Linked DNA regions of Bombyx mori. The protein of the gene in region 2 interacts with the protein of the main gene of each other region in a pairwise test. Links are inferred from orthologs where the notes say so. Each region holds a gene or a part of one and is shown on either strand. Other genes may lie near its edges.

What was found.
Region 1: the proteins of KH domain-containing, RNA-binding, signal transduction-associated protein 3 (region 2) and proteasome inhibitor PI31 subunit interact in a two-hybrid assay, tested with the Homo sapiens proteins (2 studies listed by BioGRID and IntAct). The link is inferred for Bombyx mori from reciprocal best matches to the Homo sapiens genes KHDRBS3 and PSMF1.

The regions. Positions count from the first base shown.
Region 1 is NC_085111.1:15,245,255-15,248,161, reverse strand, and holds part of proteasome inhibitor PI31 subunit, read right to left. Parts: intron 2,680-2,907; coding exon 2,496-2,679; intron 1,300-2,495; coding exon 1,209-1,299; intron 401-1,208; coding exon 260-400; intron 1-259. UniProt on the Homo sapiens protein: Plays an important role in control of proteasome function. Inhibits the hydrolysis of protein and peptide substrates by the 20S proteasome. Also inhibits the activation of the proteasome by the proteasome regulatory proteins PA700 and PA28.
Region 2 is NC_085126.1:9,712,341-9,716,619, forward strand, and holds the start of KH domain-containing, RNA-binding, signal transduction-associated protein 3, read right to left. Parts: upstream 3,063-4,279; 5' UTR 2,901-3,062; coding exon 2,693-2,900; intron 2,450-2,692; coding exon 2,328-2,449; intron 1,766-2,327; coding exon 1,656-1,765; intron 547-1,655; coding exon 341-546; intron 1-340. Other genes in the region: dynein light chain roadblock-type 1, read right to left, coding at 4,000-4,146. UniProt on the Homo sapiens protein: RNA-binding protein that plays a role in the regulation of alternative splicing and influences mRNA splice site selection and exon inclusion. Binds preferentially to the 5'-[AU]UAAA-3' motif in vitro.

The DNA.
Region 1 (2,907 bases), on a different chromosome or scaffold from region 2:
AACGAATACGGTCTGAGGGAACGGACACCAGTAACACATACGATCTGGTCTCTATGGGCTCATGGTTGTTCAACTTTTGTAAAAGGTATCTGTGTCAACCAGAAGCGTATGAAATAAATCAAAGAAGGTCTTCAAGAGTACTTATTGTTTACAGCCTTTTGATGGTAAACTGACATAGTCATGTGAGCGGATTTAGATGCTCATCTGTTCATCTTGTTGTTAATGAAAAATCTCAGATATGTAAGATTTTTACACAAACCTTGGCAATCCACCTGGAACACCCAGGCCTGGGTTCTCAATGTCTCGACGTGGAGCAAACGGGTTAAATATCATTCCACCCCCGAAAGGAGAGAACGGATCGAGATCTGAATGGCCAACGTTACGGCCAGGAGGAACTGCCCTGTATGAAAAATAAATTAATAATTGTCACTCATTTAACTAATATTTACTACTGGCAAACTCGTTTGTACACATCCCGGGGGCTGCATACCAAAAACAGATTAGATTAAAGCAGAGAAACCATAGTATTCTAAGTTTTTTTTAAATACAGAAGCAAATTCTGAAAATGCGTGATAAATGAACTTTTCCCCGATAATCGAAATGAGGCATTAAAGCTAAGACCGAATTTTGAAAATTCTTCCACGTTTTTACTAAAAAAGTTGCGATGATAAAGATCATATCGATATATACTTATGTATAAAATTTTATAAAAAAATATTGTTTCAGAGGTTATAAAGGAAAATCCGTAATTATATTACAATCAGGTCTTATTGTAATCGTATCCTATGTCTGTATTAACGAGTTTAAATTAATTTTTATCTGTAATGATGAAAACGTGGAACAGTTTCAAAACAGAGGTTGTATTACGACCCGATTAAAATCATTGGCAGCTGAATCTACGCAAGCATAGAGCAGAATATACAATACAGCAAACTATTAAGACGCGCACACAAGGTTCACGAACGAAGGAAGGTCATGGCTTAAGGAGAAATTGGCCCTTATGTTCCACCTGATGCGAAAATATTGCTCTAACACTATAAATCTTCAACAGCTGCCAAATGCAAGCTCGTGTATAAACCTATTTTATACCCATATTATGTCAAACAACTGTAATAGAAATATATTATTTCGAACTCATACTATCAACCTTAGATTAATTATGGGTACAAAAGATGAGCCACTAGCCCCCGAAACCGAGCATTCTTTACCATAGATCTTGTGAATCGGGATTAACTCCGGGTCTGGGTCTGGGAGGAATTCTCAGTGGATCATCTGAAGGCCTTCTAGTGTTTGAATGATCTGAAATTTTTAAACATTTGACCTTGAGATAAAAATACGGTCACGTAAATCAGCACATTGAATTTCAGGTGGACCATAAGCTGACTACAGTCAAACTTAAAAAAAACTAAATGAAATGGGAGTCGAAATGGTCGAATGCATACTGTAGCTGTTTATTGAATATTTAATAATTAAATAGCACATTTAATTTTACATGCTCCCTTATTTTATTGAGCAATTTTAACCACTTATTTTCTTATGTTATTTACAGAATTAAAATGGAAGATTGAGTTTAATTGAAGTCGTCATGAGCTTACGGAACAGACGCACACTGTACTCTCGGAGTATGTGACTCCAAGCCAGGATTCAGATCCTGTATGCAGCTACCAAGTATACTTAACAAGTGTTCACGAGCAATTTGTGTGAATAATATTGTGTAAATTTCCTCCAGCTTATATCTGTCGCAAAACAATCACGTATTTTGATTTAAAGAGTAGGATAGCTTTTGTATTAAAACTACAGACCGTTAACTAGAAAATCGTGTGTCACAGTGAGTGGCAGTACTGAAATTTATATATCTATAGGCACCGGTAGTCCTTTATCATCAACTGGGCCATAAGCACGTTCAAGCGTCTGTACAAGAAATGTTATAATCTTGAAACAGCAGTGACTGAATATCTTTTGCACGGCAAATAGGATATTCACATTTTTTTATTTTTACTCGACATAAATACATAATACTAAATTTGCTTGTGATGGTTGTTAAATTTTTGTATGGCAATATGAGAGGGGCGAGTATTATCTTTCTGCCTATTTCTGATACGCAGTAGTCTCTCAATTAAATGGTCAGTGGTTTTGCAACTTAAACCTTATGTTTTCATAGGAGTGGCAATGCTTTGTGATGTTTATAAGATGTGCCATGCAATCTAAAATAATCATGAATGTGTTTTCTACTTGACACAAAAAGTCTATTATGAAAGAAGAGTAAATTTAAAACAAAAACTTGAAACATTAATTTAATTTTTTCCTCTAAGTTCTACGTTTAGTATGTGCTAACCAAATTTTTAATATTATCTAAAAATCAAGTGTGTAGAATAGTGAAGGAGCTGTGATAAAATCAGCCAAATTGCACACTTTTTATATTCTAAAGTCTACTTAAAGCATGAGCAGTTATAAGGCTGAAAACTTATATTACAAAAATTTTGTTTAAAAATTACCTGATGCAGTCTGTGTTTCCGAAGTAGCTGTTGGCTTGTCTGTGATGCTATCAATTAGATCTCGCTTTATAACAAAAATGAAATCTTTGTAATTCGGCATCATGACGTCTATGGTTCCATTTGATTCTTTCAGTATTTCGTCTATCTTTACACCTATGTTCGTAACAGCAAGGTCTTCAGATCTCTGTACAGAGTTGAGTATTTTGTTAATCGTATGTGGAACTTCATAAGAGACAACATCAATACGGAATTTGTGGGTTGATGAAGACAAAAGAATTCATGAATTAGAAAAGGGAAAACAGATAGGTGATTTACCAACTCTCACAACATTCATTTACATACACTACTAGACTTGAAGACATTAATGACAGAAGAATGTTATTATTATGTTTTATTATTTTATTATGAACTT
Region 2 (4,279 bases):
CATATTCAATTAAGTAGAGGTACAACAAACATCATGACTATTTTCTCATCTGTTTGTCAAATTATTTTCAATTTTTATTACTAATTAGTTATGCTTTAAAGAGTACATTAAAAATTGGATTGCTATTTTTCCAATCTTTAGATGGAATAATGTAAATAGTAAAACTGGGAAAAAATGTAATACACAAATTATTAAACACAGATTATTCGGCAAAACAAATATGCAGTCATTTAGGTTACTAGGCTTTATGATATTCAATGAAATATTGTGTGTTAGTCTTCATTAGGATTCTTACTAAAGCTATTTCTTCAGAATAATAAAAAGGTTTTTTGACACTTACCTCTGACATCTATATCTCTCATCTGTGACATCCATACAGTTTCATTTGTATCCGGCACTAAGTATTTTTTGACTTCTGCAAGTGCATATGCAATTCGAGCGTGAGCCTCTGCTGGTGGTGCTATGGCCGATATCTCAACATGAAGATCGTCAGCTAGATGAGAGTACTTAGGGTCTAATGACTGGCGGAGTTCTTCTTCTTTTTGCCTAAATGAAAATCATACTGATTTGTTTATCTATATATGAGTCGACTATTATCAAAGCCGGCAATGTGACTTTTGGACAATTATTGGTAAATCAGAAAAACGAATTATTGACTTTGTATTCCATTGGCAGTCACAAAACTCTTCTGAACGACATCTTAGACAAATAACAGGTTAAGTATTAACCTTTATTTAATGCAGGTTTTGAACCGTATTCTTTGAAGGAGACGATTATATTCAAATCAATCTGTATTGAAATATCAATAAAAAATTTTTGTCCAAATGCACAGATTGCCACCTTTGATAATAGACGACTCATATATAAAAATGAATTGCTGTTCGTTAGTCTTGCTAAAACTCGAGAACGGCTGGACCGATTTTGCTAATTTTGATCTTAAATTATTTGTGGAAGTCCGGAGAAGGTTTAAAAGGTGTAAATAAATATGAAAATGCTCGAAATTAAATAAAAATAACAATTTTGTTTTTCCTTTGATGTGTCCCCCATCAGAGGGATTCCTTTTGCTTGTTTTATCGATTGAGGCACTACAAAGTCTGCCGGGTCAGCTAGTACTATTATAAATCTATTTACTACTGAATATAAGTCTGTTGTAGTTTTCATGAGTAATAGACATGTTTAACTATTTTTCTATGTAGTATCTCTTTTGAGTAGCAACAGTATGGCAGGAGAAGACCTTGTTGGCCTGTACACACTTGGCGACGACTGCCAGTCTGACCTGGAGGGATGTTACAGAGCAAGTGCAAGATAGGGTGAAGTGGAGACAACTTGTGAGGGTTGTAAGTACCAGCCGTACCTTAGGACAACAACAACAGTATCTCACTTGTTATTTGGTCATTGATTTATCTATACAAGTAGTTTTAAATAGTTCTGTTGTCCATTAAGCAACTATTTTTTCTTTTTTTTTTTCTGGCCAGAGTCTTAACCTCCTACACGGTCCCCATGCCTAGTATACGACAACTTTACCAGCACAAAGGTTTTGTCTTTTCTTGATTTGTTGCTGCAATTATAGATTTCCATTTATTTAAAATGGAAATTAAAAGATTATCTTGACTTAATGTGGTTACAGAGAATGCCAAATCTAAAGAGTTATGCACCTGTCTCTCATTGAGCCCCTGCCGAGTACAGCCATCTTGCACAGTGTGTCTTCTTGTAATTGCTTCATAGTGTTTCCTTTTGGACCTAATAGTTTTCCCACAAAGTTGAACTGCAATTGGAAAATGCATGTATTAAATTACAAATGCACTGTATTGTCAAATGAAGTGTCACTTTGATAAAGGTAACCTTTTTGATAATTTGGGGCTGGCTACATATGCAACAATAAGATTAATAAGCTGAAATGTTTAATCATTTTGCTTCAAATATAAATGTTTATTCACCAAATCATCACCAATACTTAGATTTTGACAGTGAACAAAAACTTGAAATTGATGAGATGATTTTTTTAGACTTGTACTCATATACTTAGACTTATTCTAAAAATAAACAAGAAAAAATTTCAGTTTATATTTTCGACCACAAGGAATGACACCAGTGTCTTAAGCTTTCCAAAGATCAATTTTAGGCAGCTCACATCCATTTATCATCATAAAAATATAAAAGATGTTATGCAACTCATTTGTTATTGGTATTTATATTATTGAGTGCAAGGCCTCCTGTTACACGAATATCTCTTAGATGAGAGTTGATTTGAAATAATAGTTTTGTTTTTGTAAGCTTGAGACAATTATTTGCAACGATATACTTATTATTAGATTCAATTTTCTTACTTTAGGATGTTCCTTAATTGGCACAAGAACTTTAACTGTGACTTTGGTTGGTTTGTCACGGAACACATCCACATATTTTGAGTCCTTGGTGATACGACCACTAGCCTGTACTTTTGTTACTTCTGTAACAATAATTTCAAAATATCAATACGGCGGCAAAGTTTTTTTTTTTCAATTTATTTCAAATGGTTTTGTCACATTGAGAGGTCAATGAACTGTTATTAGTAATTTTTATAGGGGATTTTTATTTGTTAAATGGAACATTTTCTTCTCAATACAATGATTTTTGTTGTCGAAATATTGAGGAGTGAAGAAGAGTTACGAAATATTCTTTTAAATAAGTAAGTAGTGAAGAATTAGCATACCTTGATCAATTAACTTCATAGATAGTGGAAATTTTGAATTATTGAGTTTGATCTTCTCGCTAAGTAGTTCACGCATGTATTCACCGGCTTTTTCATTTATTTTGATACCTTCTTCGCCATTTTGATCGAGTTCCTCTGGTTTACCTTGTGTGGTATTTCTTTTAAAATCGCCACTATTATACCCATTTTTGTCGTATTTATCTGCCATTTTGATTAAATCAAATTATGCCCTAAATATTACTTGATTTCCGTTTTTACATTAATGTAACACAATGTTTTCAATGTAAATTATTACGCGTACTGTGTAAAAGACGCGTTGTCTAATGTGTAGTATAATCTATGGAAGACGCCTCAATTTTTTTAATGTTCTGATAGATTTTTTTAAAGGATTTTATGACCTGGTAACTGAGACCTTTAAGTCATGTCTTATTTTAATCATATTTTTATGAAAAATGATATTATGGAGTGAAATGAAATGAAGATAATTAATTTGAGACGTTAATCAACTGAGATGAAATTAAATGAAATTAAATGAGATGATGTGGGATGAAATATAATCTCAGTAAAATGGTAGTCATTTACTAAGATTTTTTCAGTGGACTTTTGGAGGATCTCGAGAAGTTACGTCCAGCGGATTTGTTTCATTTACCCACATTTGTGCACTTTGACAGATATTAAACAGTTAATAAACCACCATTAATACACATTTAAACCCGAAGAAACACTAAATAGACAAAATAAAACAAATCACACAACTTCACTCCTCGCGTTCCCACCAAAAAGTCCAAAGAGTATCTTTTTTTTTAAAGGGATTTTATGACCATGATTTTATGAAAAGTCCACTGAAAAAGTCTCAGTAAATGACCATCATTTTACTGAGATTATGTTTCATCCCATATCATCTCATCTCATTTTGCTTAATCTCATCCCAGTTGATTAATGTCTCAAATTAATCATTTCCATTTCATTTCATTTCACTCCATATTATCATTTTTCATAAAAAATAAGATAGAAGAATAAGAATAAAAATAAGACATGACCTAAAGGTCTTAGTTACCAGGTCATAAAATCGCTTAAAAAATGCTTCTTAAAATGATCGTTAAATTGCGTTTCAACTTTCAGGTTTTTGTCAAATTTAATTTATTTGCTAATACGATCTAATCCTTATTCTGAGAATAGGCAAGTAAGATAAAGTAGGTAAGTCAATAGGTAATAGGTATTTTTATTTAGAAAATAAAGAAGTTACCTAAATTTTATGTTGTACAACAAAAAAAATAGTATTTATAACACTCGTGAATGTTTAAACATCATGAAATGAATTGCTTTTCAGAATTTTTCTTGATCTTTTGTCTCGCTTGCTGTAACACGATTATGTTGAAGGACGGATCCGGGACCACCATGATTTCTTTCTTTTTCGTATGCAAACGCATTACTAGTACTGCGTCGAAAGGATCCTGAAATAATGTCAAAGCTTTAACTTAGGTATTACGAAAATGTAGTATGTTTCATGTTTCCTATCTACTAGTAGCCACGAGAGGTTATGCTAGCTTCATCGAATGTGTAGGCGAGTTCAAGGAGCCAAAACGG